Rattus norvegicus: one gene and its partners. The protein of the gene in region 6 interacts with the protein of the main gene of each other region in a pairwise test. Links are inferred from orthologs where the notes say so. Each region holds a gene or a part of one and is shown on either strand. Other genes may lie near its edges. The genes, in order: Txndc9, Polr2c, H2ap, Cluap1, Eif4e2 and Myog.

Region 1 (5,421 bases), on a different chromosome or scaffold from region 6:
GAACCAGATGGCTGCAGACTCCCAGGAAGTCAACTCAACCGAAAAAAGGTAAAAGAACATAATCGAACGTGACACGGGCATGCTCCCCAAAATTTCCGCCAAAGTAGCTCAGAGACCCTCCTCTCCCTGAAAAGACTTTTTTTTTAGGGTTAGAAAGCAGCGACCCCGAATGGTTCCTTCCCCTCCTTCTGTCTTATGGGAAGTGGTAGGAAGCCAAGACATACGCGAGAAAGACAGGCCGGAAGACGGAAAGCCAGAAAGCAGGAGTCTGGGCAACCGGCACTTTAAATAACCCCAGAAGTGTTTCCAACTTGGCATACAAGACGAGGGAGCCGCTGGGCCACCACTCCGCAGCCCCGAACAACTTCGAAGTTCCTGAGCTGCTCCGGGAGGCGTTCCCAGGGTCAGGGGCGGCGAGCGAGCCGCTCCCGGCCGGCCCTACCCTAGCTGCCAGGGCCCGGCTCGCACTCACCTGGGCCGTAGGCCTGGCTTAGCTGCGCCCGAGCCCGGCCCCACACCGCCCGGAACCCCCGCAAACGACCTCCGAGTGCCCCAGCCCCAAGCCTCGGACCGCAGTCCGAGCCCCGGCCGCGGGACGCGCCTCGTCGAGGTTCGCCCACCCAGGGCCCCGCGCGACGACCCCCGGCCCGAGCCCCGCCGCCTAACCTGTCTTCGCTCTTGTTTTTCTGTTTCTTCCCCATCGCTTGTCAGCGGCGCTCGTGGCCACGGCCCCTCGGTTCGGTGTCTCACAGACCCACTGTCTCCCAGCCGACTCCAATGCCCGCTCGGCTCGGTCCCCCTCGCGCCGCCGCCTCTCGCACCCGGCTCTCCACAGACCCGCGCACTGGGACAGGGCACATATGGTGTGAGCCCTCAGTACGCAAGCGCATCGCCCCGCCGCCTCGGCGTGGGGACGCAGGGCGCGGCTCATCGAGAGCGGCGCTTCGGCTAGAGCGTCTGGAGTTGACCCGCCGGCCAGGTGGGAACTCGAGCGCCCCCTAGCCGCAAGTGAGCGCCGCGCACCGACGCCCAGCAGCTCCCGGGTTCTAGAACCTGGAGGAGGACAATGAGGCCGTTCATTTCCCACTGTCAAGCACCCTCCCCGGGGCTGGCATTCGACGCCGAAGTGGGACTGAAAACTCCCCTCGCCTCAGCTGCGGGAAGTCCACTGCAGGACCACAAGGAGCCAATGATGAGCTTTCTGGGGTTGGCAGGACCAAAAACAGAAACAAAAACAAAAATACCAATTCAGACACTGAATTGTCAACTGTGTACTTCTATTAAGGGAAAAAGACATAAGGGCACAGCGACCGGACCCCTAATATGAATCTTCTCATGAGCAAGTTCTAAAAATGCATGTGTGTAAGATAAAATGGGGAGGGAAGATCCTGGAGTGGTGAAATTTTTCTCCATATGTTTTTGTGCACTGTTATAGTGTGAGCTGTGTACAAATTTATAGCATACTGGAAGCTACACTTTAGAAACTATTAAACGCAAGGCAAACGAAGCCCCTCTGTCACTCAAGCGCAAGACCCGGCTCGTTTCCACGTAGCTTTGCGAGCTGGGACCCGCAGTCAGTGCATAAAAACTACATTCCCCAGCGTCCTTAGCGCCCATCCCTCCGGCCATTAGCCCACGTGAAGTGTAGGCTCAGAAGTCAGTAGTTCCGGGTGGCGAAGGATAAGAGCTTCTCCGAGGCTTTCGTCACTCTCCACCGCCCCTTCCGCAGGTTATATCGCGAGAGGGCTGTAGCCAATGAAAAGGTGGAGCTGACAGCTCATTCGCCGCCCTTAACAATTGCTGTGAGGTTGAAACCTGCGTGAACCTGGTCGGTGCTCTTGGTCTGCGGCTCCCTCTCTCCGTAGGCTTCACCAATAATCCAGGTACGGCAGAGGGTTCTGTAGCCGATCTTGCCACTGCGTCCCCGTGTAGATGAAGGACACACATCGGCTGCACATCCGGCTGGGCTGGGGGCGGCTGGGAGGGCCTCGTCTGGGCGGCTGCGGAGGCTACGGCGCATGCGCCCCAGTTAGTGCGAACTAGCGTCCTCCCCACCCCCCGGAACTCCTCCACCAGTCCCTTGAGCTCAGGGAGTGGCGAAGAGTCCGCTGACAGGTACACGGGGTTAGGGTTTCGGGTAGGAGTTTGTAGGGGAACAAATAAGTGTCAGCCCCCCCAGTTCATCGGTAAGAGTAATACTTAACAAATAGAAAGTTATGGGGAACCACTAAGCTACACATCCTTAGCCCCACCTAACCCAGCGCAGCACTTATTAGTCTCATGAAGCTCTGAATTTAAACTTAAAGGTCTGTGAAAACCTCAGGGATAAGCGACTACTATGCCCTGTTAATGGCAGATTGTGAGTAGCTGGTCTCGGATCCCTTCATCTAGATCTTCCTGAAGAGTCACAGTCTTATTGTATCTCTCCTCCCCAGGTTAGGGAACCTGGGGATACAGCTTTTAAGTTGTATAATATTCATGAGGAGCTGAAAATTGAGGCTTAGAGGGTAGTTTAGGGATTTTTTTTTTAAAATAAATGGTCTTATGTAGTAGCCCAGGCCTGTCCTCCAAATATATCCAAGGATGGTCTCAAACTCCTGATCCTTATGCTTCTGCCCTTGAGAACTGAGGTTACAGTCATAAGCCACCGTGCCCAGGGTTATTTTGTGTGCGAGTTGATTAGTTTTAGCTGCCAACTTTATGCAGTAACTTACAGTCACCTGGGAAGAAAGACTCATTGAGAAATTGGGTAAATCAGGTTGGCCAGTGGGTATCTTTATTCTGGGGCCTACATGGCTGAGTTTTAAGGCCAAAATGATGCCTCCAACATGGCGCCTGTTAAGGTCTCAGGCCTTATAGAGACCCTGTCTTTTAAAGAAAAACAGAAACAAAACAAAAAGAAAACAAAAACAAAAAACCCAGAGTGTAAACTTAATACTTGTTTTTTTATGAACCCCTCCCCTCCCCCAGCACCAAGACCATTTAGGAAAATGGAAGGAAATGGATCTATCGACATGTTCTCAGAAGTCCTAGAAAACCAGTTCCTCCAGGCTGCTAAGCTAGTGGAAAATCACTTGGACTCTGAAATTCAGAAACTGGATCAGATCGGTGAAGATGAGCTGGAACTGCTCAAAGAAAAGAGACTGGCGGCGCTCCGGAAGGCTCAGCAGCAGAAACAAGTAACCTCCGCCTGCTCTCTGAAACCACTGTAACCCTGTGCTCCTGACTGCACTGTGCAGTCATGTGACTTTCCCTCCTCACTTGCAGGATGTTCCAAATTCACACGACACTGTTCAGTAGCTGCCCAGGAATAAAACATTAGGGAAGACTTAGGCAAGATGTACCATTTGACTGAGGCGATGACATGTGAAAGAGAGACATTGAGACTTTTTCTTAGGGCAAGCTTAGGGTCCACACATCAAAAAGAAATACGATGGTTGTGTGTGAGAAAATATTTCTAAGTGTTAGACTTGCGTTTTTATTAGGTTGTCTTGTCTTTTGTGGGAGGGCAGGACAGGAGCAGGATCTCACTGTGTAGCCATGATTGGCCTAGAAATCTCAGACATTTTACCGCTTCTGCCTCCGAAGCGCTGGGGCCCAAGGTGTGCACCAGCACCCCCATTCTGTCTGTCATCTTCATGGCCACTCAGTGACATGGTTGGGTTGTTGCACCCACTTACAAGAGAGAAGGTGAAGTGGAAGGCTCCTTAAAACTGGTCAGTGCGCTTACCTAGGAAGCGCAAGGCCCTGGGTTCGGTCCCCAGCTCCGAAAAAAAAAAAAGAACCAAAAAAAAAAAAAAAAAAAAAAAAAAAAAACGGTCAGTAAATGTCGGATGGGCGTGGCCACTGCAGCCTCCCTTGTTACTTTTCTCCTAACCAGCAGCCTGAAAGGGAGAGTGAGCATCCGTTGAGGTGACAAGCTTTCTGCTACAGGGAAGGGGAAGGGGCTGGAAGAGTCCCAGGCTTGGTTGACAAAGGCCCTGCCTCAGCTTGGGAACCTGAATTAGATGTGAGGCTTTTTTCCCTGGCTTTGGACACCACGTGGGTGGGATACTTTTCCTTCTGAGGACTCTGCTCACTATTGGCTGCTCTAGAAGCCCCGGCCTGTTTTGAGATTACTGTCAGAAGCAGATAGGGTCCTAAGCTTCCTGAGCTTCGATAACTGCACTGTCCCCCAGGGTGGATGGGCTTTATTTCATGAGGTGGTTTGGTTTAGTTTGGTTGTCTGTTTAGTTATGCTGTGGATAGGACATTATTTCTTAAATTTGAGATTGTCATAGGATTATATCATTCCCCCTTCCCTTTGCTCCTTCCAAGCCATCCCATATTCTCCCTTTCACGCTCACAGCCTCTGTTCTCACTAATTGTTGTTACATCCCTATATGTGTGTGTGTGTAGACATACACATTTCTAAATATGCCCTGCTCAGTCTGTAATGTTAACTCGTGTGTACATTTTCAAGACTGACCATTTGGTAGTGGACAGCCAGTTGGCGTGCTTTTCCCTGGAGAAGACTCTTCCTCCCACTCTCAACATTCTTTAGTTGCCTGTGAGAGCATTACTTTCTAAAGTGTAGAAAATAGTGAGTGTGTGTGTGTGTCTCCGTGGTAGAGCTCTCCTGTCTCCTGCTCTTGCTCCTGGTTCAGTCCCTCACATCACAAAAATAAACCGAAAAACCGTTTTGTAATCAAACAACCCTGATTTTATTAGTTTAAAGAGCACACATGTGAAAGTTAAATTGGTATTTTCATGTTATGTCTCACAGACCTAAATTCTGGCTGTGAAACTTAAAATGAAGCAGGTAAATGAACAAGGTGCAGAACTGCCCTAATGAACCCCTGTCATGAGACGGTCACTCCTGCCCACAGACTAGCTCTGCACAATGGCCACTGAGATCCTAGGAAAGCCAACTGCTGAAGGAACACCTGCTATGCAATAGAATTGATTCCCTTACAAAATTACACAATGATTAAGAGATATAAAACACTCGGTACCACGAAAACACGTGTCAGCTGGGTCTCTTGCTTCTCTTGAAATTAGGAATGGCTTTCCAAAGGACACGGGGAGTACAGGGAAATCGGCAGCGAGAGAGACTTCTTTCAAGAGGTCAAGGAGAGTGAGAAGGTGGTTTGCCATTTCTACAGAGACACCACATTCAGGTAACCTGGCTTCCGCTCTTCTCTCTACTGGGATGAGACATGTGCGTAGAGACACTGCTGACTTAGAGCAGTCACGTGTGGTGATGTGGTCACAGGTGTTTTCATTATTGTGAAGATTAGCCTAAGCCAGCAAGCACCTTGCAAGTAAATAAGTCGGTCTTATCTGAAGTCAGTAGTCCTGTGTAAATGTTTCATTGTGCCGAGCTGTGGTTTCTCCATGTAAGTCAAAAGACATCCAGAAGTAAGTGCTTGTAATTCTTAC
Region 2 (5,532 bases), on a different chromosome or scaffold from region 6:
GCCCAGGCAAGTGAGGGCAGTCCCAGGCCATGAGCTCCTTGTCTGCTCCTACTCTCTGACTACATGAGGGCAATCTTTAGCTTTCATAGTCCTCCAGCCTTTACACTGGCTGTTTCCTTTGTGCCCATGGTTTGCACTGCCTTCTGCTGTACTCCTGTTTAAATCAGCTGACGGGGAAAGCTGAGTTTCCGTTCTTGTCCACTGGACTTTCTGTCGGGCTCTTTTCGAACCTCTGATTTTTTTGTCTCGACGTCCCATAAAGTTACTGCCATGATTACAGTTCATCTTTTCTCTATCCTTTTTAGCATCCCTCTCACTCAGCAGACAAGTGGGACTCACAATTCCCAGGGATGGTGTGTACTGTGAGCAGGCCCCCTCTGTATGGGCATTGTTGGAGTATATGTTGGGGACCTTTGAGATGGCTCAGTGGGTGAGAGCATTTGCAGTCAGGCCTGGTGTCTTTCCACGCACATGATGTGTTGTACCGTCTCTCACACACACATGTATTTTGATTTTCATGTGTATGCGTTACAGCACTCTCTCTGACATCAGCTCGGGTGTGGGTCTTTTGTTGTTTGCTTCTTTGCGCACTATCTAACTGTCCTAAGAGCATACAGGGGATTCTTCTCTTCACCTTCCAACTCAAAGGAGCACTAAGATTACAGACTTTGGCATTACCATGCTGGCTGTTTTACGGGTTTTCTGAGAATTTGAACCTGTATCCTTGCACATCGAGTTTTCTGAGAATTTGAACCTGTATCCTTGCACATCGAGTTTTCTGAGAATTTGAACCTGTATCCTTGCACATTGGTGTTTTGGCTTTGACAGTGGGACCAGGGACTGTGGTGCGTACTTTACATATCAATGCAGAGCTGGCCCCTAGGTACTCCCAGCATCTTTCAGTCCCTACTTGTCATATTCTGCCCCCACCCTGAACTTTCCAGCTTAGAGGCTGGGTTGCCCTTCCTCAGAGGCTCTTCTCTTTCCTGTTTAATCCAGATACCTTGTGCTTTGTGCTCTCTCTCCTTTTCTCTCCCTCCCTCCCTCCCCGTCTCTCTCCCTCTCCCCTCTTTTCCCTCCCTGTCCTTCCCTTGGTGACTCCCCTGGCCTCCATTCTTGGGGGCCAGTGAACTTGCCTGAGAACAGCTTCCCAATAAACCTACCTTTTAATATGTTCTAGTTTGACTTGAATTGACTCATTTCTCTGGCAGAGAAATAACCTGTCAGTCGTTTTACACAATGAGCCACCTCCCTAGCCATTTTATTTATGTTTAGATGTACAGCTTCCATCTTTTAAAAGGCTTTATTGTATTCCTACACATTTAAAAATTATTCTTATGTATATGGGTGTTTTGCTTGCATGTATGCTTGTGCACCATTTGACTACCTGGTGCCCTCAGATGCCAGGAAAGAGATTCCTTAGAAACTGGAGCTAAAGATGTTAGACGTCATATGGATGCTGGGAATACAATCCAACTCTTAGGGAACAGCAGCCAGTGCTCTTATCTCCACATCCCCGTATGTACGTTTAACCAAGCCTCTATCAATTTTTTTTTTTGGTTCTTTTTTTCGGAGCTGGGGACCGAACCCAGGGCCTTGCGCTTCCTAGGAATTTTTATTATTATTTTTAGCAATTACAAATAACATTGGCGTGAATGACCCTGTCCGTGAAATTTTGTGCTGTGTATCTTGGGGATTTCAAGAGCATAGGACCAGTGCATGTAGCCAGTGTGGTTAGAAAACACAGGCCAGGAGTTCCGGCCTCCGGTCAGCAGGTGGCACTGCGCCCACGTCTAGCCGGAAGCGCCCGGGTGCCCCGCCGACAAACTGGTGGTCGCGCAGGCGCGCTGTGGGGCTGGCGCGGGAGACAGGCAGCCGGTCGTGATGCCGTACGCCAACCAGCCAACCGTGCGGATCACGGAACTCACTGAAGAGAACGTCAAGTTCATTATCGAGAACACGGACCTGGCGTAAGGAGGCGAGGGGAGAGGCGGGCGGCCGGGGCCTCGGGCTCCTGACCCCGGGGCTGTGTCTTCGGGGCCTCTCACGCTGCCTGCCTTTCCTCCTGTAGGGTGGCCAATTCCATTCGGAGGGTCTTCATCGCAGAGGTGCCCATAATAGGTAAGCGACCCTCCCTCGGAGCCGGTGCCGCCGTCCCTCCGCCCCGGGTGGGAGCTGAGAACACTGAGGAGGTGCACGCCGGGCTGCGGCTGCCTAGGCCCGCCTCGGTGCGTGCCTTGCTCGGCAGCGGGGATTCCAACTCTGTTCGTCTACCCAAAAGCAACAGAAATCAAGACTAAGCACTATTAAAACAGCCGAGGGCTGCAGCCTCCTCATCCGTAAGGTGACCCTAGGTTAGCGGGTGATACAGAGATTACTGAAGTAATGTAGATGGTGCGCTTTTGCTTTTTTTTTTTGGTTCTTTTTTTCGGAGCTGGGGACCGAACCCAGGGCCTTGCGCTTCCTAGGCAAGCACTCTACCGCTGAGCTAAATCCCCAGCCCCTGCGCTTTTGCTTTTAAGTCAGTGTTCGTTACTGGTTGGCGTCTTTTGAAAATGTCTGTTAATTTTACAAAATAACAGACTACGTAATGACATTTTTTAAATCTACACACAGAGTGATTTCTCCCGTCCTTCCGTCCTTCCAGATAGTACCCTGCTATACTTTCTTTTCTTCTCCCCCTATCTTCTTTAGAACATATTTATTTACATATATGTGTATATCTCTGGGCTCGAGAGTACCATAGTTCATGTGTGAAGGTCAGAGTACAGTTTGTGGGAGGGATTCTCTTCTCCCACCATGTGTGTCCCAGGGATTGACCTCGATAAGGCTTGACAACAAGTAAGTACCTTTATCCCGCTAAACCATCTTGTAGGCCCTGAACTCTCCTTTTATTTAAAAAGGGGAGGGGGAGGGAGGGAGGGAGGGAGGGAGGGAGAGAGAGAGAGAGAGAGAGAGAGAGAGAGCGCCCACATGAGAGAAAGCATGTGTGTTATTAAACTTTTCTTTTACAAACAGCATACTTTAGTTCTTTATGGTTGAAGTGTGTGTGAGTGAGAGACAGACAGATAAGACAGACTACAGGGTTTTTTGTATTTATTCTGGTGTCTTTTTTTTTTTTTTAATGAATTTCTTATTTCTGTAGATCATGTAAGTTTCCAGGTGAAGTCAAGAAATGAGCAAACATAACACAAGGCAAAATATGACAGCTGTCTTCAGGAGAGTCTAAACAGTTTTGTTTGTTTGTTGTTTGTTTTGAGAGAAAGGAAGGAGACCAAAAGAAGGGGATGGAGCATTTGTAGATACGCACACACAGGGTTTTTATACCGGGAGTTCCCACCAGGGGTTAAGGGATGGGGAGTAGATTAAGGGCATTGAGGGGGCCCTGGAAGTAAAGCGTCAGGAAGCCTCACCCTTGCTAGGGTTGAAGAAGCGCTGCAGGGAAGGGCAGGCTGGGCCTGTCCTCGCCTGGTCTTCTGACCTCTCTTCCTTGTGCCTATGGCAGCTGCTTGAGAACTGGGCTCCCACACCATTTGATTTCTGAACATCATTGTTTATGTGCAGGTGTTTGCTTATGGGCGATTAGGTACAGGTTTAAGTTAAGCTTCTGTGTGTGTACAGTCCCGTATGCCCAGCATTGAACTGAGAGGGGTTGGATTTATTGTTAGTGTGCTTTCCCTGTTGAAGCCATCCAGTGAACCATCCCTTGATGGGAGTAACACTGAAATTCTAAGTGGGCTCTCTGGTGATATCATAAATAAGGTGTGGGCCATGAACTTGTGATGTTTTACTTTTTACTCTTGAGATGTTTTCCCTAACTTGAAAATTTTTAAATTTTTTTTTTAATATTTATTTATTTTATGTATGTCAGTACACTGTTGCTGTCTTCAGACAAACCAGAAGAGGGCTCCAGATCCCATTACAGATGGTTATGAGCCACCATGTGGTTGCTGGGAATTGACCTCAGCACCTCTGGAAAAGCAGTCAGTGCTCTTAAGGGCTGAGCCATCTCTCCAGCCCTTTAAATTGTTTTTAACTGTCTCTGTGTGTAGGTGTTTACAGGTGAATGCAGGTGCCAGAGGTGCCCAGGAGTCTCAGATCCCCCTGAAGCTGGAGTTACAGGGGTTGTGAGCTACCTGACATGGGTGCCAGGAACCCTTCCCCCCCCCCTTTTTTTCAGAGCTGGGGACCGAACCCAGGGCCTTACGCTTGCTAGGCAAATGCTCTACCTCTGAGCTAAATCCCCAACCCTGCCAGGAACCTCTTAACCTCTGAGCCATTCCTCCAACCCATGTTTCCCTCAACTTTTAGGTGCCCAAATAGCTTTTATTCTTGGATTTGGTATTGGCACAGGTAGCTGGTTTAAAGTACTCAATTCCCTAAATATCTCTAAATTCTCTGAGGTAGGTAGGGGTGTATGTGTATCACTAACAAGGCCTATACCCAGTTCACTGGGGCAGGAAGATTATATATATGAAATGTGGAAGGCCTAAACCTGGAGCTAAACTTTGAAGCCTCTTACAGCCTAGTCTGGCCTGGTCTGGTCACCTTCAACTTTGTAAGCACTGACTTGATTCTTTCTTTTTTGTTTGTTTTGGTTTTTTTTGTTTTTGTTTTTGCTTTGGAGACACTGTTTTTCTTTTGTAGCCCTAGCTGTCCTGGAACTCAATTTGTAGACAAGGCTGGCCTCTGCCTCCCGAGTGCTGCTGGGCACTGAGTGATGTGAGACAGTGCTATAGGTCTGTAAATGAATCTGATGGCTAGTTCTCATTCGTCCTGTCTTGTTGCCGCCTTTTCCAGCCATTGACTGGGTTCAGATTGATGCCAACTCCTCGGTCCTTCATGATGAATTCATCGCGCACAGGCTTGGTGAGTGCCGGTGTTGAGGAAGAGATCAAAGTGGGATGCTCCCTGTCCCTAGCCTGCCTGACCTCTGAGGTTCTTGTGGTGGCTTGGCTGTTGGCTGTTCTGCAGAGCACTTTTCTGTGTCTTGCAGGTTTAATCCCCCTCACTAGTGATGACATTGTGGACAAGCTGCAGTACTCCCGGGTACGTGTGTTGGCAGATAGACAGGAAGCACAGGTCGGGGGAGGGGGGTCCAGTTCTCCCTGGGATCTTTCTGGGCATCTTCCTTCCAGCTGACTGTAGCATGCTCATTGTTGAGATGATGTCTTAGTAGTGTGGTCCTTGGTTCTGATGGGGCTTCACATTGCTCTCAGCACATCCAGGCATCATCACGGGCAGGTGTGGCGGCACATGCCTCTAGGCTCAGCTTGGGAAGCAGAGGCAGGTGGATCTGTTTGAGTTCCAGGACAGCCAGGGCTGTACAGAGAAACCCTGTCTCAAAACAACCAAAAGGGTGGGGGAACACAGCCACTTTTATGTGTGTGTATGTCTGCCTCTGTCTGTGAAGGTGGGCTAGGGTCAAAAGAGGGCATCGCTCGGAGCCCCTGGAGCTAGTTATAGGCAGTTGTGAACTACTGGGTGTTGCTCTGGCAGCTGAGCCGTAGTCACTTTTAACAGCCAGCCTCA
Region 3 (3,539 bases), on a different chromosome or scaffold from region 6:
AGAACAGCTCTTCAAGGGATATCAACTAAGCATGGCATAAAAAGATATAATAAGACTAGGCCCAAAATTTCGTATCAAGGCTGGATAAGGCAACCCAGTATGAGGAAAGGGGTCCCAGGAGCCAGTAAGAGTCAGAGATACCCGAACCCTCATTGTTAGGAGTCCCACAAAAACACCACATTAAACAATGACAACATATATGTTATGACCTAGCACAGACTGTGTGGTTGCTGTTTTAGTCTCTGTGAGTCTCTATGATCTCTGCTTAGTTGATTCTGTGGGGCTTGTTCTCCTGGTATCCTGAAACCCTCTGGCTCCTACAAACCTTCTTTCCCCTTTTCTGGGGGACCTTTCATGAGTTATGCCTAATGTTTGGCTGTAGGTTTCTGCACTTGCTCCTATCAGTTGCTGGAAGAAGCCTCTGTAATGATGAGTGGACAAGGCACTAATCTATGAGTATAACACAATGTCATTATGATTTTTTTCATTGATCTTTTTTTGCCAGACATGTTTGGTTCAATCTTAGGTCTCTGAGCCATTCAGCTTCTGGTTCCTGGCTATCCAAGCAGTGTCTTGTGTGGGCTTCCTCTTGTGAAGTGGGCCTCAGAGTGGACCAGTCGTTGGTTGGCCACTCCTATAAGCCATTATTGCCCTGGCACATCTTTCAGGCAGGACAGATTGTGGATCAAAGGTTTTGTGACTGGATTTGTGTTTAAATCCCACTCCTGGATGCCTTGCCTGGTTGGTTACAGGAGATGACTAGTTCAGGCTCCATATCCTTCATTACTAGAAGTCCTCACTAGGGTCATTCTCATATAAGTTCCAGGAAGTTTCCACTTCTCTAGGTTTCCACATTGCCTATCAAGCCCTCTCCTAAGTTCAAGTAGTCTCTCCTTGTACTCTCTCCATCCATTGCTTCCTCCCCAACCTGATTTCTCCTGTTCACTCACTACCAACCTCCAGTCTACCCACATAATCTATTCTATATCCCCTTCCCAGGGAAATCCAGTCATTACCCCTAGAGCCCTCCTTGTTACTTAGCCTCTCTGTGTGTGTGGGCTGAAGCATGACTACCTTTTACTTTGATTAAGGACCTGTGAAAGAATCTAATGTCTGATGAAATGAGTCATTTAGATCTGTAAGCTTTGGAAAATGATATATCAGCAGAATTAATGTCAGATTAGATTGAAGGTGACAGAAGATGAAATGACAGAAATCTGTGGGGTTTTTAAGCTTTGTGAAGAACAATAGTGGCTAAGATTACTCACTTGTAACCTTGTGCCAAGGACATATGATTAAAAGAAATTATCAGAGAGTTCGGAGGGAAGAAATCTGGCTATAGATAAAGTTATGAAATCAATAGAGCCAGGATCAGTGGTCTCACATCTCATGAGCTTATTGTTCTGCCCTGATATCCAATAAAGTTTTACATATTTGGGTTTTGATATTGACTTGATTGAAGATTCCTTTCACTATAGATCTTTTGGAGTAGGAGTTACTGGTTATAAGTGAACCAAAACACAACAAAAATACAGAAACAAGATAGTAATAGAAAGGAAAATTGAAATAAAATATGTATACTGGAGCTTGGCTTTAACCCAACAGAAAGAACAACAAGAAAGCAATATCCAGACTTAAATAGAACACAAAGTATAGCTACCAACATCTATGTACCAGAAACACACCAAGCATTTCCTCTCCAAAAAGAGATGTTTTGGAAATTGGATAAAACTCATGTGGATATTGAATATCTATGATACTGAATAAACATATGAATGAATATATTCAAATGTGTACAGGATTGTTAACCAAGCCTATTTAAATAAGTAAATTGAATCAAAAAGGGTCTCAACACTGCTTGAAGAGGACAGTCAAGCCTCTACCTGGAAATGTATTTGACATGCTTATCACTGCCTTGTAATTGATGAAAGGTTGTAAAGACAGACAGCTTCAAGTAAAACACATTATTTCTACAATGTTAATTCAAGTGTAATTGAGAAGAGTTAGAGTCCCCTCAAAATCAGGGTAAGGTGGTCACATTGCTGTGATAGATATTTCTAGGCTCAAAACCTAGTCAAAGCTCATAACCCACCAGGCACCAATGACATCTCAAAGCCTAAGATGTCATAAAGGTAGCTCCTGACCAATGAGGTGCAGAAGTTGAGGGTGCAATGGGCCTGACTGAACATTGTCTTCAGAGAACCAGTCCTGCTGGTGAACCAGGCAGAGCTTACCGGAGCCCAAACCATCAAACCATCATGTCGGGGAAGAAGAGCCAAGAGAAGGCTTGCAGCGACAACAAGCAGACGGAAGATCCTTCTTCTAGGCCTGAGGTACAGGTGCCTGTGAACTATGTGTACCGCCTACTGCAGGAGGAGCAATACACCCCCTGCCTAGGTTCCACAACTTCTGACTTCCTCCTTGCCATGCTTGATTACCTTACCGACTACATCCTGGAGGTGGTGGGCTCCGAAGCCAACATCAACAGCCAGCAAAATATTTCACAAGATAGAGAGAGACAGAGAGAGAATGACCGTGAACCCCCTCAAGCCTTCAAGAATGCGCCTTTCTCTCTGTTTGATGAGATGCCTGGACCCAGAAGGAATGGCTAAAGAATGGGGTTCACAACCCAAGAGTGGGAAGCCTCACAAACTCAGCTAGAACCATGAAGGCTAATAGCAGAGGAGGCTGCCCCCTGTGTCCATGAATACTAATAAAATGTTTAAATGAAAGTTACTTGTTCTGACTTATTTCAGTTTGTCTCGTTGAGTTGGAGGTATCCACAAGATATCAAAGAAAGAATAAAAGATTGAAGTTATGCTTAGGAGTGGGGGTTTGAATCGAGGGAGTACTTCTCAGTGGGGGTGGGCTGGGTAATGACCCCAGTGGGGGGAATTGGGCAGAGAGGAGGGTGGAGAAGGCTCCCTTGTTGGCTCTGAGTACAAAAGAAGCCTCAGAGAAGACCAGAAGTAGTCTGTAGCCTCACTGGAGAGTTATATTTTCAGTATGGTAACTTGGAAGATGCTGCTGATGAACAGAAGCCACCTTTCATGGGAGCAAAGGTCTCAGAGCAGAAGGAAATGGGTGTCAGCGAAGGGGTAAAGACAGTTTGCATGAGTCACATGAGTAGGCATAAGGGACAGAGTATTCACTTGATGATGGTGTAATGGCAAAGCCAGAAGGAAATATCCATTTTAGAAGAGGTAAAATGGTTAAACATCTAGTCTTGGGATATGTTTTTCTAGAGAGCCTGTGATTTATAGAAATCTAATTGCTTCTGGGTAGAAGGTGGCAGAGAATCTAGCTTGCCAAATATTTCTACTGTCAATTTGTCTATATTTTATCTCAATCCAATTTCAAATGTTATAACCTATGGGAATACTAGTTATTTTTTAAATCTGGATGAAGGAAATCATACTGTTTTCATTTAGCCTTGACACATGATTGAATCTCAGAGTTGAAGCTATAAACCAGTTCTTTGAACATGTATCTCCTCCTAGGCCTATTGTCTATGTAAAGACTTGGCAATAGGGAATCAA
Region 4 (4,742 bases), on a different chromosome or scaffold from region 6:
TTAGCTGGCGCTCACTTAAGTACATATGTTAGTGTGTATGTTGGCATTTCCCCAGGACAAGTTTTAAATGCCATCACCTGCCATATTTTCCAAGGATCTCACCATTTTTGTGGTTTGTTTTCTCAGGAAGGCCCAGCAAACGCATCGTGGGCACAATGCAAGGCGGAGACTCCGATGAAGATGTGAGTCCATGCCTTCCCGACAGTCCTGTGCCTCCCGGCCTGGGGCTGGGCTCAGAGCTTAGCTCAGGTGCTGCCCAGATCAGGGAGCTGCTTGTACTCAGCACATGGCTTGACTGTGCTGGAGCTCGGTCTGGGAAGGGCTGGCTCTCCCTCGCTTCTCAGGAGCTTGTTTCTCGCTTCACATAAATATGCACACCCATCGCCCTTCTTTGCTTTGTCACCTTCTCAGTTCTTTCCACTCTCACTTTCAAAGACGCAAGCAGCACCAGCCCTCTTAGGTAAATGCAGGACCTCCAGCTCCAGGACGCAGGTTGGTCTCTTTGCCTCATCTGTTTGTTGCTGTGTGTTGGCCTGCTCAGGGCTAGCAGACCCTCTCCTCTGAGGTGATGCTTCCTCTGTTGGGCAGGAAGCCCTCAGAATAGATCCCATTGCAAGAGAGGAAGGGAATAGATCCTCTTGCATTACCATACTAAACAGGGTCAAACACCAAGACCAAAGGTGAGAAAGACGTGTGCAGTCATCAACTCTGAGTTTCAACCTAGAAACGAAGCGCTGATGCCAAGGACTGTGGTCTGACACAGCCTGTCCTCGGCACCCTCTGCAGTTCTGGAGCAGGAACACAGAAAAGATGTTTGTCCTAGACCAGAGCCTTGGAGACACCTGACAGGAGCCTGAGACCAGGATGCTGGTGCCTTGAACTCCACCACATAGATAAACCAAAAAGGGAACTCTGGGTTCTCAAAATGGCAGGCTGGCTCTGCACTGCCAGGCTCTCTGAGCCCTGTTCTTGCAGTCCCTGGCCATACTTCTGGGCCCAAAGGTACTGGAGAGACACCAATCCAAGATCAGTTTGTAAAGTATGGGCCTGTGTCTAGGGTCTGGCACCAGCACCTTCACTGGGACAAAACAGGACCTTATGCTCTTGTATGGTGCCTGGCTTACTACAGTGTGGTATTACTTAGAGTCACAGGAGCAAGCTAGCACCTAGTCTTGCTGAGCAGGACACAGAGACACGTGTCCTGAATTCACCTTGAATTCCTAGGACAGTCACTAGAGAGTCAGGGAAGTCACTCAGCTGTGACTTTCTTTTTAATCCCAAGGATGCATATGATAAGGTAGCTGCCATCCGTTCCCCCCATCTGAGATGACACACAAAGGGTGCCTATGATAAGGGAGCTACCCTCTACCCACCCCCAGCCCCCGAGGCTGACACATGGGTCTGGCCTAGAGAGCCTGTGCCTCCTGGAAAGTGCCTGGCTTGTTTTACTTGCTTGCATGCTTTCAGAATGGACACATCCTCAATGGCCTGGGTCTTCCCGTTTATTTATCTCTTGCAGGCTGTGTTCACACAGCCCCTCTGTCACAGCTTTATGTTTGTCCAGCATCAATCTGTTGAGTCCTGTCAATGTCGGGTCCTGAATGCAGCAGGGAATAAAAACAGGCCTTGCCTTTGGGACACATGTGTTCTAGGAACAATCTAGCAGGCATACCATGGCCACGGTTATTAGGGAAGAAATAAAATTAGTTCAGGAGGCGAGAAATGACAGAGACAAGGGATTTTTTTTTTCCTCGTGGGCAGGCAAGGCCTCTCTGAATAAGGAACAGGGTGAGCCATGTTAGGGTGGACAGAGCCCTTGGGCCCAGGGAGTGTGAACACCTCCAGTGCCTAGGCAGTGGCAGGGTAGAGGAACTAGGCTGAGAATGATGAGAAGTGGCACAGGCAGTGGACCTGCATGGGATTTGATGAGCCCCTCCCTCATAAGATAGATGTGCAGTTGTCAGCCCAGGAGAGACGGCAGCAAGGGCAGCTGTGTAGGCTGGAGGTGAGGGTGCTTTAGCCTGAGGAGGTGAGGACAGTGCTGTTGAGACGTGCTGGACTTCTGGGTGTTTCTGAAGTCAGACCCATCTTGTTTCCTTAGTTGACTGCACCAGTGTGATGAAGAGAAGAGCATGTAGACTGCTTTGGTTGTGTGTAACTGACTAAAAGCGCAGGGTTTTAACTTCCTGAGACAGATGACTTGGGGGAGGAGAGGCTGAAAAGGTGAATCAGGAATTGGTTTTAGACATTCTCAAGTGTGTGGCCTATTAGACATCCATGTTCCATGTGCAGCAGCCAGTTGAAATTAGAGTTTGGAATTTAAGAAACAGGGTCGTATCCCTACTGGATATCCTTTGCCGTCTTCATAACAGTGGTCTTGGGCTATGGGGTAGATTGCTGTGCTTAGGCAATGGTGGGGTAACACGGGAACGCTGGAGTACAGGAATTTACCCGGGGAGTTTATCCTTTCTTTTTTTCACTGTGAGACAAGGTCTTTCTATGTAGCTCAGGCTGGCCTCAAATTCAGTCATCCTCCTTCCTGCCTTAGCCTCTGCAATGCTGGAATTGGAGACTTGTGCCACAATAGGAATTGCTTCTCAGCATTTGGCTAAGATCAAGTGTGGTACCACAGTAGGTCTGGCCTTCTCAAGGATTTCTGCTAGAAAGAAGCAGACAGCAGGGTGGCTGGAGGAGGTGGTAGTTCTCTAAAGAAGAAAATGTTAACACATATGACTACTCGGGAGTAGACTGGGTAGCCAGCCATCTTGGCAGATACTCATGGAACACAGGACTTGCTGTAAGAATGACAGCCTCTGGTGCTCCCTGGATCCAGACCATAAAGGAGCTGGGCACCACCGCTTTGCCTTCTTTCCCACATCTGTACCACTCTCCACCTCCAGCTGGAATAGGCCTCCCCTCCGCCTGCTGTCTGTTGTCTACTGGGTCTCTGGAGTGCAGGAGCCGTGCAGATCTAGGTTCCTCAGCACATGTTAAGGGCGTTCTTGAGACTGCCTCAGACAGCCAAGCCCTGTTCCGTAGCCCTGGTAAAGAGCTACTGGTTATAGCCTCTCGAGTGGACTCGTTCAACAGGCAGTGTGTGTGTTCCCACAACCCTCCACCACGTGGGGTGGCTGGTCATTGCCCTGGCAAGGGTGAGGTGGGGTCTCTAGGGACAAGATGTCATGGTGAGCCGGCACCTCAGTTACAGTTGCCATCTCTTTGCTTCAGGAAGACTCGGAGGACAGCGAAATGAACATGGAAGATGATGAAGAAGATGACGATGATTTGGAAGATGAGAGCATTGCGCTCTCACCAGCTAAACCCAGTCGGAGGGTCCGGAAACCCGAGCCCTTGGACGAGAGTGACAATGACTTCTGACCTTCTTGCCAAGAGACCCAGACAGCTTAAGAGCGTCAGATGTATAGGTAAACAGGGACTCAGCAGGCTGGAAAGGTAACGTGTTTTGTTCACTACCCCATCTGAGCTTATCCATACTGAAACTCCAACAGAGATTTTCTTTGTCTGTCTCCTAACGCTTGGGATCCCCATACCCGTGTTCCAAGTGATTCAATCTGTAAGAAAAGCCCCTGAGGAGAAATACAGACTTGACACCATGTAAGTCTTGGCTGCTGTTATTATTAAATTAGTTTTCCTTGATGATCAGGCCACAGAGAGGCTCCAGACTATGAATGTTTTGTTTTCTCTCAGAGGTTCTACTCCCAGAGTGTTGTTCTGGGATTCACTTCAAATTACATGCCACCATCATAGTTCCCCAGCCTGGCTCCCTCAACAAATGCAGCAACAACGTCTACTGTTACCTACTCCGCCAAAAGGGATCCGTGTGTGTGTGTGTGTGTGTGTGTGTGTGTGTGTGAGCACAAGCATGCATTTGTATGTTATATGTGCACATGTTCTAATGTGAACAGGTACTTGTTTGTGCTGGTAGACATGTATGTGTGAAGACCAGAGGATAACCTCTGTGCTTGTTCCTCAAGAACTGTCCACCTTTTGGAGGGTGTAGGGATGGGTCTTTTACTGGGGCCTGGGAGCTCATCAGTTATCCTAGACTGACTAGACAGTCAACTCCCGCTTTATCTCCCGCTTCCCAGGGGTTACAAGTGCACACTAAGGGTTTGCAGGAGGGTGTTTGGAGACAGCACTCAGACCCCTGCTTGCTTGACAGACTATGTCAGCTGAATTGTATCCTCAGCATTTTATTTTGTTTCATTTTTGAGACAGGGTCTCACTATGTAACTAGTAGCTAGCCAAGAACTCCTATGCAGACCTTGAACTCCTATCCTGGCCTTGAACTCACATAGATCCATCTGCTTCTCCCTTGGGCTACACTAACTGGATTTAGTAGATTATCAAACAAAAAAGACACAAAATTAGGGCAGGAGTATTTTGGGGGAGAGCAGAAAAGGGAGGCAGTGTACATGATCATAGTTCATTGTAAACATGTACGAAAAGCTCAGAGAGTTCTTGTAGGCCTGACAAAACAAAACACTGGAGCTGGAGAGATGGTTCCAAGGCTGAGGAAGCTAAGCTCAGTGCCCACCACACGAGGTGACCCACAGCCAACTATTAGCTCCAGTTCCAGGGCCTCTGGTACATTCTGGTAGCTTCCTTGGGCACCTGTACTCACAAGCTTGTACCCTCACACAGATGCACAAATCAGAACAACAGAAGCTAGAGGTGTCCAAGGTCTGAAATGACAGGCACATAGACTGAAATGCTTGGTA
Region 5 (4,742 bases), on a different chromosome or scaffold from region 6:
CTTTTGGCCTATTTTTAAGTGTTTCTAAACCACCTAATTTGATATTGGGAGATCCATCCATTAAACATGTTTGTTTTATATTCGTGCCTGGTGCTAGAGATACCAGTGGAAAAATTAGATAAAGTCCCTCCCTGCACTGAATTTGCTAGTCCAGGGAGTATTGAGAAGTACCTAGGCAGAAGCTTAGAGAGCTAACCCAAGTGTCACTTAGTCTGAACAGGAATTGAGTAGTTTAAGTAGTTTAGTCTGTGGAGTGCTACTGTTTTAGTGTGTACTCTACTTTGGCTCAAATCCAGCTTTAAGCTGGGAAGAACAGCTTCTGAAAAGCAGGTTGTAAACCTTTGGCTTGGGTGTATGTGCAAAGAGCAGGTTAAAGCAGGGTAGATATGGTGGACATACCCTTAAAATCTCAGGAGGCAGAGACAGGTAGATGGATCTCTGTGAGTTCAGTTCCAGCTTGGTATACATAGTGAGTTCTAGGACAGCCAGGACTATTTAGAGAGACCCATTTTCATAAGATGAGAGGGTGAGGCGGGGGGATGTTCATTGGTAGAGTCCTTGCCTTTCATAAAGGAAATGCTGGGTTTTATTACCAGCATCCTCAAAACTAAAATAAAGACCAGTGCATAAAGATACAAAATGAAGTCCATTGAGGTTCCTACTTGCTGGCTTAGAAAGGCGTCTAAGATGGTTTCAGAATAATAGCATTGTTTCTTCTCTGCCTTAACTGGTTTTGTTTTCTTTTTGTTTCCTAGTAGCAACCAAAAGAAAACCACTAGAAAGGAAAGGAATATAACACTTTTCTTGTGGCTGGCAAAAATGAGAGGTCCTAGGTGACTGTCCTTCTTCAACCAAAATCTAATAAAATGACCTCAGAGGCTATAGTAGGGCTTAGGAGAAAACAAAGGGTCTTGTATCCCTAGAGGATGTGTTACAAAAGAGAGTTGTTTGGGGCCAAAAACAGTAGAAAAATCTATGAGGTATTCTCGGTTCTAGATCAGAGGATGGAAATGGGCCTTGAGATGCTTGTATTATACAGAGCAGAGGAGAGGGTTTGGTTTGACCTATACTGGGAGAGAGTAGGGACTGTTTCCAAGAGAACGTGAATCTTGAAGAGCAGTAAACCAGGAGTGGAGGCATGACTCCATGCTGAACATGGTAGGAGTGGGGCAGAGATGGGGACCTGCACTTAAGTGGACACAATAGGAGTGGAAGGGGGTCATAGAGAACAGGCAGGAGATGTTTGGGGGACATGCAAACAGAATGGCCCTTTGCACCAAGTCAAGGCTTTATATACCTTATCTCTCCTTAGTTCTTTGAGGACAGGTACTCTGGTAGCCAGTGAGCTGCTTGGTAAATGTTGGTAAGTTTTAATTCATGGGCATTATGTCCAAGGCAGGCTTGATTTGAAAAGGAAACTAAGCAAAACAAGTTTAACCAAGGGGAAGGAAGTTTAATAAGCACAGGTAATGAATGTCTCTGAGAAGCAGACAGATGGCAGTGTCTGCACACCTCTCTCCACTTGCTCTGCTTGCCCATGTGGGAGAAAGTGGGCTCTGGGTTGGGATCGTGGAATGCCTCCTTGAGCCACTCTAGAAAGGGTGAGGGTGATGCTTCAGGTCCCTGTTTAACCTCACATGCTCATCAGTTCCAACTCCTTTCTCTCTCTCTGGACTGCCTGTCCCTTTTGCTCCGAGTCTTGATTCTTTCAAAGACCCTAAAGCTGGTCCAGCTTCTGAATCCTTCGTCTTTGTTCTCTTGGATGAAATCAATATAGAGAGAGGAGTCAGTATTCTGAAGAAAGGTTATGAGGCATAGGTTGTTAGGCAGACTGGACTGCCCTTTGCTCCTATGCCTTATCTAGTGGGGTCTTGACCAGGTGGGGATGTGGAGATCTATCACAGGGAATGGCCACATGAGTATCTCCTGCAGTATGGCTGCCTGTTGGGCAGAGCAGGTACCCCACACAGGACTAGCTTATTCATCCTGTTATTTACAGGTGCATTTTATACGTTAGCCATTAAAGATGAGCAGACAACAAACACCAAGCACCACCACTTTCCAAAACACAAACTGGTATGCACCATATTTCTGAGTCTGTGTAGGATGATATCAGTTACAACTGAGGTGTGCTGGGACCTGTCTTGAAAATGCCTGATTCCATTTTTTTGTATATACCATTATAGAACCCAAAAGATGATTCTGGAGAAAACCTATGGGCGAATGGGCTAATTCTGGAGTGAATGCCATTCTGTCTCCTCCATTTTTTTTTAAAGTATGTGTATGGAGTAGAGAGGTCAGAAAACAGCTTAGCAGGAGTAGGTTCTCCTTCCAGTGTGTAGGTTCCAGGGATTGAACTCAGTCCCCCAGCTTGACCACAAGTGCCTTTGCCCAATGAGCCACCTTAGCAGACTGAGCAAATGCACTCTTATTTTTGTGCACTAACCTGCTTGTTTTTGTCTGCATCTGGTGGGGCTTAGGTGGTTTCACAGTTGACTCTGCTTATAAGACAACACATCCACTCCTCCTTTGGTTTTCCTTTTCATTCAGTCTTTGTTCTGTGTCATCTGTGTTTTGGGTGCCAGTAATAATGAGATGAGGTATGATACTGTGCTAAAGAAACCCTCTGTCTCAAAGAAGAAACAGACAGGGAGGAGTGGCACCTTGGACTGGAAGCAAGCAAGGTGTTTGCCAGTGAGAAGGGCTGATGTGTATGAGAAGGGAGAGGAGTAGGCTCTGGACAGGACTGAACTTCTAAAGTCTTAGGAAAAGCACGTTGTGTTGAATGCTACTCTAGAGGATAGGTAATTAGGAAGTTGATGGTTGAGCATCTTAAGGACGCAGGTTCATTAGCAGATTCACATTTAGAAAGTGAAGAGGATGGGTGGAGAGGAGAGACTGACATCACACCCACTTATAGACCAATGATGAACTAGATGACTGGAGAAGGATACTGACCTAAGGTGTGGAACGAGGGCAGCTGGGAGAGAGGTGGAAGGAGTGGACGTGACAGTATATGGGCAGGTTTTAAACTTGGAGATGTCAGAGGAATTTGTCCAGAAATTCTAATTACCAGTTTGTTTATTACAACAAAATCCAGCTCTTTAACTGCTTTGTTATGCTGCTGTTGGGAAACTGAAAGACTGTTCACTGGAGCCCATGGGGTAGCTAATTTAATAGTTTTTATTTAATATTCCTGGTTTGCTTTCCCTTTGCCCTTCTCACAGACACATCTCATAGGCCTGGGGTTTGAGTGACTTCGGGATACTTAGTAGTTCTCTGACCTTATAGTTTTGTTAGGTAACAATAGTTTAGTGATGGAATGACATTATTTTGCTTTCCCTTGTAGCTTAAAAGATGATGACAGTGGAGACCATGATCAGAATGAAGAAAACAGCACACAGAAAGATGGTGAGAAGGAAAAAACAGACCGAGATAAGAGCCAGAGTGGTGGCAAGAGGAAGGTATGTTTGGGGTTGTAATACAGGTGTCGTGTGCCTTGATTATCTCATTATCTCTTTAGAGCAGATTCACTCTTTTGGAATCTGACTGTTCTTAAAACAAGGTTGAGGGGACTGGAGAGACTTCTCCCACCATGTGCTCTTAACGCACACACTCTCAAGCACGTATACTCATGGAGACATAAAGATCGGGGACTAGGGTACTACTCCGAGGTCGGTATAAGGCCTTGGGTTCAATCCCTAGCACTGACAAAAGGGAGGAAAGGTATGGAGAGTGGGGGAGAGGGTATAAAAGAGGACACGGGGCACTGGGTATGACCAAAGCCTGGTGGATGTGTATATAGGAATGTCACAGTGAAATCTTTAGTATGCATCCCTCATTACAAGTTTTAAAAGATGGTAGAATGGCTCTTCTTCCTCACTCTCACTCTTCCTTCCGCTCTTCCACTCTCACTCTCACTCTCTCTCTCTCTCTCTCTCTCTCTTTCTCTCTTCCTCTCCTCCTCTCCTGGCTTGACACGATAACCTCTGTGTGTGTGTGTGTGTGTGTGTGTGTGTGTGTGTGTGTGTGTGTGTGTGTGTGTGTGTGTGTAAAAAAAAGATGGTAGAATGACTATAGTTTATTTTGGAAATTATAACTTCCTCTTAATGTGAAGTCTTGGGGTGCTGTCCTGCTATAGTCTCCTCATATGAGATGGGCGAGTGAGGGCTCTCACCTGGAGCTTTCTTTAAAGGCTACTCAGTAATTCAAATCCTGCACATTCCTGTTTTAGACTTTTCAGTCAACAGTAGTACGCATTGAGAGTGGCTTGGGATACAGAGAATTTAGGAAATGAAAGAGAAGTAGTAGATCAAGTTTCTCAGTATTATAGCACTATTTATCTGATAATCTGAATGCCTGCTAAGCAGGCCTTTTCTTACAAGGTGGTAAGAAGTCACAAAGATAGCAGGCAGTGGCAGTGTGTACCTTTAATCCCAGCACCCGGGAGGCAGGCCAATCTCTTGAGTTTGAGACCAGTCTGGTCTACAGAGTGAGTTCCAGACAAGCTAGGAGTACACAGAGAAACCCTGTCTAAAAAAGAGAGAGAGAAGGAGCTTATGTTCATTGAGCACTTCCATTGTGACAGTCAGTGACCAAGCTCTTGGTGCCTCTAGTCATTTGTTCTTCACAGTGACCCTTCTAGGTGCTTACTGTCCTTTCCTCCGTCTTGTAGACGGTTGCTGAGGCACAAGAAGGTTAAGCAACCTGCCCGTCTTTAGTAATGGACATTGAGGAGGTGG
Region 6 (5,361 bases):
CATTGGCTGCAGCATTAACAGCTTCGCAATGGGGCATTCGCTGCCAATGGTCCGGGCTCATCTACCGGGCAGTGAGGCCACGCAAGGCATCTAAGAGCAAGTCCTGTCTGCTCCCACTTCAGAAGAAGAAGACAGTTTGCTTAGGGGTAAGTCAGATGGGGTCCCCCAAGGACAAAAGATATAATTTGGGGGTTTGCACAGCAGATGTGATATCCCTCTCTTCTCAGGGCTCACAGGGCCAGAGTATAACCTGAAGCAAGGTAAACGTCTGTTTGTTTCTCCACTTTGAGGAGGTGGGGAGTGTGTTGAGCATGAATATTCTCTGTGTGTTAGAATCCACAATACCATGCTGCACTCTGTATTCCCAAGTGAAGTCAAGAACGGCCTTAAGGCCTCACTAGGCCCCAATTTGCTTGGGGCTCCTTTATTTTCCAGCATGTCCCCCTCACACACCTGTTTCCTCCTTCAAAAGACAGTGCTTTCTTGGCTCATCCCTTAAGGGAGGAGAAAAGGCCAGCCTTTCAGACCTCACACAGCTCTCACTGCCGCTATGAAGGGATCCCTCCTTGAGATCCCACACCCCATACAACTCCACCCTTCCCCTGATTGTCCTGACTGGTAGTGTGTCCGTCTCTTGCTCTTCCATTGGAACAGCAGGACAGATCACACCTAGTCTGCAGGGTCATGGGGAAAGTCCTGAGCCGTAGGGTGAAAGTTTGTGACTCAAAATCCAGAATTCCTGAAGCTTCAGGTCAGGGGAATAGGCAGCCACAGGAAAAGGGATTCAGGAATCAGAGGTAGGGTGAAAGGTGGCCAGAGGCCTCCATGACCATCAGTGCCTCTACTGAGGTATCTACTGGGCTGAAGGAGCCCAAGATTCAGTGGAGATGGCCCCTCCCCCACCTGACATTCTAGAGTTGTATGACACAGGCAAAGGTCATGACTCAGGCCGGAAGGGATAGAAGAAGCCAGCCTGGTGGCAGCCTAGGACAGACACAATGTTAAGGATTACTCATTCTCCTTATCACCCATATACAGAAAGGAAGGAAGGAGTCAAAATGGTTCTAGTGCCCAAATGGGCAGAAGACATCATTGAGGGGAAAGCACAGGAGAGATGATTAAGAGACACCAGGGAGGGAGACAGGGGACTGAACAGCCCTTGACTGGAAGAGAAGGCAACGTAGAGTAGTTTGTGAGTTCTAATCCTTGCTAAACACTGACTTCACCCGACCCCTACTACTTCAGGATTCCCCCTTTACTTAAGAAGTCCCGTGTTCTCTTACTTCAACCCACCCTCAACAACATGAGACCTGGTCAAAGATGCCGTGGAAACCCAAAAGTTGGATCCATTTGCTCTTCTGAGTTTCAGTCTTTTGCCTCCATGGACTCTAGGGTTTCACACATATACACATGATCCAAACGTGGAGTGGTCCTGTTGTGGTGGTAGGGACCTCACGGGACTGACAGTACGGTTTAAGGTGCCACTGAGCAGGAAAGAGAAGGCTAGATGGATTCTGAAGAACCCTTCCCATCCAAGGCAACCCCTTTCTTGTTCCCTCTGGCCCTGTCCACCAGCTGCCCTGGCCCATGGAGGAGAGCAGGCAGGAGGCCCGGGTAGGAGTAATTGAAAGGAGCAGATGAGACGGGGAATGTACCCGCCCCCACCTTCCCTGCCCCACAGGGGCTGTGGAGAAATGAAAACTAATCAAATTACAGCCGACGGCCTCCCGACCCGTGCACAGGAGCCGCCTGGGCCAGGGGCAGGCTGGCAGGGTGGGGTGGGGGCAAAAGGAGAGGGAAGGGGAATCACATGTAATCCACTGTAAACGTCTTGATGTGCAGCAACAGCTTAGAGGGGGGCTCAGGTTTCTGTGGCGTTAGCTATATTTATCTCTGGGTCCATGCCAGCAGGGAGGGTTTAAATGGCACCCAGCAGTTGGCGTGAGGGGCTGCAGGAGCTTGGGGGCCAGTGGAAGGAACAAGTCTTTTCCGACCTGATGGAGCTGTATGAAACATCCCCCTATTTCTACCAGGAGCCCCACTTCTATGACGGGGAAAACTACCTTCCTGTCCACCTTCAGGGCTTCGAGCCCCCGGGCTATGAGCGGACCGAGCTCAGCTTAAGCCCGGAAGCCCGAGGGCCCCTAGAAGAAAAGGGACTGGGGACCCCTGAGCATTGTCCAGGCCAGTGCCTGCCCTGGGCGTGTAAGGTGTGTAAGAGGAAGTCTGTGTCTGTGGACCGGCGGAGGGCAGCCACACTGAGGGAGAAGCGCAGGCTCAAGAAAGTGAATGAGGCCTTCGAGGCTCTGAAGAGAAGCACCCTGCTCAACCCCAACCAGCGGCTGCCTAAGGTGGAGATCCTGCGCAGTGCCATCCAGTACATTGAGCGCCTACAGGCCTTGCTCAGCTCCCTCAACCAGGAGGAGCGCGATCTCCGCTACCGAGGCGGGGGCGGGCCCCAGCCGGTGGTAAGTGGCTGGTGCACCAGTTCCAGGGATAGAGCCAGAGGGAGGTGCCTGGTCAGCCTCGGGCCACCAGAGCTAGAACAGGTGCAAAGCAGGACCCTGGAGATCCCAGGACCCCTTTCCTGGTCGGCTAGAGTGTCCAGCGGCCTTCTGTGATCATACTGTTTCCAGACCAGACAAAGGCAGTGAATATAAATACAGATGGGGTGGGGTGGATTGGCACAAGGGAACAGAAGAGACCCAGAAACAAGCCTGAAGTAAGGGCTTAGGAGAGCCTAGGTGAAAATGAGAAAAAGTGGCCAAAGAAACCCGCTTTATCCCAAAGCCATAGCCTCTATATTTGAGCTAACAAAACACATTAGAATGTCCATAGGCCGGCTCAGGAGCCACCATAACAAAATACTCTGGTTTACCACCCTTATCCCTAAAATAAAGGCAAAATTCCCATCCTAGAAGCTAGGAAAGACCTAGAAATATGATGACTACGGTAACATTCTATGGTGAGTAACTGACCCTGTAACCCAGGCAGAGAGAAATACCTGAGACCTGTAGTAGACTTGACCTTGGACCTTGGCCTTGTCTTGCATGCAGGTACCCAGTGAATGCAACTCCCACAGCGCCTCCTGCAGTCCGGAGTGGGGCAATGCACTGGAGTTTGGTCCCAACCCAGGAGGTAAGTGAATCCTGACCCTGGTAACATGGCTCAAATCCCTTAGTCCTAACTAGGCTGGGCTGTTCCCTTACCATAACACCTGTTCCAGTTACCTTCCAGCGGCTTTTCCAGGAACCTGCTGACCCGAGGTCCCCAAATGGTGGGCTGGAGACCCTACCTCCCTGTAGCCTTGACCAGCTAATGAGTAGTTAGGGCCTCCCACAGCTTCCCAGCTGGCGTCTGACTTGGGGAGGGGGTGGGGAGAGCCTGCCCCTGCCCCAGGGGTCCCTGGGAATTGCTGAGTCAGTGTTGTAAAACTGGGCCCGGTTCCCTAGGATATCCTGGCTTCACCTTGGGTTAGCCACTTCCAAAACCCAACTGCATTAGGGGATTTCAGAAGCAGCCCACAAGTACACACACACACACACACACACACACACACACACACGGCATGGGGAGTGCTAGTGGGGGGGGGCACTCCTGAGTCTTCCTTACCTATTTTGTCCTGGAAAAGTTGTGTCATCAAGGGTCCCTTACCCCTTGCCCAGGAAACATTCCCCACCTTCTCCTTACAGATCATTTGCTCGCAGCTGACCCTACAGGTGCCCACAACCTGCACTCCCTTACGTCCATCGTGGACAGCATCACGGTGGAGGATATGTCTGTCACCTTCCCAGATGAAACCATGCCCAACTGAGATTGTCTGCCAGGCTGGGTGTGCATGGGAGCCCCTGAGTTGGTGTCAGACGCCACCACTTCTGCAGCAGGGGCCTTTTAAGTGGGGCTGTCCTGGTGCCCAGAAAACAGCCCTGGGCTGCCACAAGCCAGACTACCCACCGTCCATTCACATAAGACTAACACCCAGCCCAGCAAGGGAATTTAACTGACTCCTTAAAGCAGAGAGTATCCCCTTCCAAGGAGAGAAAGATGGAGTCCAGAGAGCCCCCTTGTTAATGCCCCTCAACGGGGCAAACTCAGGAGCTTCCTTTTTTTTTTTCTTCATAATGCGCCTCTAATTCCACCCCCCAAATGAGACAGTTTGAGAGACAGTGAGTGCCCCGACCGGGACAAGTGTGCACATCTGTTCGACTCTCTTCCTGATGCCAGTGGCTGGGCTGGGCCTGCCCTGAGATGAGAGAGAAGGGAGGGAACGATAGGGTTCCAAAGTCTCTGGGGGGCAAGCATTTGCAGTGGATATTGGGAACCTTCCAGTGCTTTGTGTATTGTTTATTGTTGTGTGTGTTGTTTGTAAAGCTGTCATCTGACCAAGGTCTCCTGTGCTGATGCCAGGGACAGGCAGGGAAGGGGGTGGGGGCTCTTGGGGTGACTTCTTTTGTTAACTAAGCATTGTGTGGTTTTGCCAATTTTTTTTGTAATTTTTTTGCTAACTTATTTGGATTTCCTTTTTTAAAAAATGAATAAAGACCGGTTGCTATCAGAGCGTCTGCAATGATATTATCAGGAGGGGAGGCATCAAAACACTGCACCTTCCCCTTGGAGGTCCAGATGGGGGGGGTTGGATCATGTGAGTGGAGCTTCAATCCTGAGCTGACCATTAGATGCAGGAGGCAGGTGACACATAGCCTGGGGAAAGACCAGATTCCTTAGAAATCCCGGGCACACCGAGGCCTGCAGAACCCTTTGTTGTACTTTAATTCAGACATCATGTACAGTCCACTGTGTTACAATTTCCAGCCCAATAGGTCCACTGAGCACGCTCACGTGCCTTGTGCCCAGCCCACACCTAGGGCTAGGGGTTTAGAGCTGGATTTTCAGGGCTTTCCTTCCTCAGCTCCGTGCCTCCCCTGGATCCGCATCCCTTTAAGTTCTACGGAGAGTAGGGGGTGACTACACAGAACAAATGGAGTCAGACAGTGTCATTTCTTCACAAGACAAATAGCAATGTCCCCTTATCACCTTCTGCCCTTCTGGGGATATTCCTGTCCCCATCTACAGCTCAAAGGTGAGGAGAGTCTGCTGAGGGAGACAGAGACAGAGAACATCAGAGAAGCCGGGGTTCTCATCCTTTGGGATGCTAAGGTTTTCAAAGACTGGTTTCCTGAGGGGAGAAGGTGGGTGGGAAACTGGAATCTTGCCAGTAGAGAGATAAGGATTAACACGGTATCTAAAAAGAACCACAATCAGGACAGACAAACAGACTTCAACCTTACTGTTGGTCTGGTTTACTGGAGATTATTTCCAAACCATTGCAGACAGGGATTCAGTATATGGTACATCCTGGGC

The links.
Region 1: the proteins of Myog (region 6) and Txndc9 interact in binary tests that used the Homo sapiens proteins (3 or more experiments, as listed by UniProt). The two-hybrid records come from large-scale screens. The link is inferred for Rattus norvegicus from reciprocal best matches to the Homo sapiens genes MYOG and TXNDC9.
Region 2: the proteins of Myog (region 6) and Polr2c interact in a two-hybrid assay, tested with the Homo sapiens proteins (2 studies listed by BioGRID and IntAct). The link is inferred for Rattus norvegicus from reciprocal best matches to the Homo sapiens genes MYOG and POLR2C.
Region 3: the proteins of Myog (region 6) and H2ap interact in binary tests that used the Homo sapiens proteins (3 or more experiments, as listed by UniProt). The two-hybrid records come from large-scale screens. The link is inferred for Rattus norvegicus from reciprocal best matches to the Homo sapiens genes MYOG and H2AP.
Region 4: the proteins of Myog (region 6) and Cluap1 interact in binary tests that used the Homo sapiens proteins (3 or more experiments, as listed by UniProt). The two-hybrid records come from large-scale screens. The link is inferred for Rattus norvegicus from reciprocal best matches to the Homo sapiens genes MYOG and CLUAP1.
Region 5: the proteins of Myog (region 6) and Eif4e2 interact in binary tests that used the Homo sapiens proteins (3 or more experiments, as listed by UniProt). The two-hybrid records come from large-scale screens. The link is inferred for Rattus norvegicus from reciprocal best matches to the Homo sapiens genes MYOG and EIF4E2.

The regions. Positions count from the first base shown.
Region 1 is NC_086027.1:47,714,134-47,719,554, reverse strand, and holds the start of Txndc9 (thioredoxin domain-containing protein 9), read left to right. Parts: upstream 1-1,793; 5' UTR 1,794-1,883; intron 1,884-1,979; exon of another isoform or gene 1,980-2,115; intron 2,116-2,970; 5' UTR 2,971-2,990; coding exon 2,991-3,179; intron 3,180-5,040; coding exon 5,041-5,159; intron 5,160-5,421. Other genes in the region: Eif5b (eukaryotic translation initiation factor 5B), read right to left, coding at 667-701. UniProt on the Homo sapiens protein: Significantly diminishes the chaperonin TCP1 complex ATPase activity, thus negatively impacts protein folding, including that of actin or tubulin.
Region 2 is NC_086037.1:10,167,259-10,172,790, reverse strand, and holds the start of Polr2c (DNA-directed RNA polymerase II subunit RPB3), read left to right. Parts: upstream 1-1,860; 5' UTR 1,861-1,884; coding exon 1,885-1,970; intron 1,971-2,071; coding exon 2,072-2,121; intron 2,122-4,800; coding exon 4,801-4,869; intron 4,870-4,996; coding exon 4,997-5,049; intron 5,050-5,532. UniProt on the Homo sapiens protein: Core component of RNA polymerase II (Pol II), a DNA-dependent RNA polymerase which synthesizes mRNA precursors and many functional non-coding RNAs using the four ribonucleoside triphosphates as substrates.
Region 3 is NC_086039.1:15,579,666-15,583,204, reverse strand, and holds H2ap (huntingtin-interacting protein M), read left to right. Parts: upstream 1-2,174; 5' UTR 2,175-2,258; coding exon 2,259-2,612; 3' UTR 2,613-2,729; downstream 2,730-3,539.
Region 4 is NC_086028.1:12,093,261-12,098,002, reverse strand, and holds the end of Cluap1 (clusterin-associated protein 1), read left to right. Parts: intron 1-126; coding exon 127-182; intron 183-3,228; coding exon 3,229-3,378; 3' UTR 3,379-3,657; downstream 3,658-4,742. UniProt on the Homo sapiens protein: Required for cilia biogenesis. Appears to function within the multiple intraflagellar transport complex B (IFT-B). Key regulator of hedgehog signaling.
Region 5 is NC_086027.1:95,336,877-95,341,618, forward strand, and holds part of Eif4e2 (eukaryotic translation initiation factor 4E type 2), read left to right. Parts: intron 1-3,349; coding exon 3,350-3,464; intron 3,465-4,742. UniProt on the Homo sapiens protein: Recognizes and binds the 7-methylguanosine-containing mRNA cap during an early step in the initiation. Acts as a repressor of translation initiation.
Region 6 is NC_086031.1:48,295,512-48,300,872, forward strand, and holds Myog (myogenin), read left to right. Parts: upstream 1-1,964; 5' UTR 1,965-1,997; coding exon 1,998-2,468; intron 2,469-3,056; coding exon 3,057-3,138; intron 3,139-3,692; coding exon 3,693-3,814; 3' UTR 3,815-4,554; downstream 4,555-5,361. UniProt on the Homo sapiens protein: Acts as a transcriptional activator that promotes transcription of muscle-specific target genes and plays a role in muscle differentiation, cell cycle exit and muscle atrophy.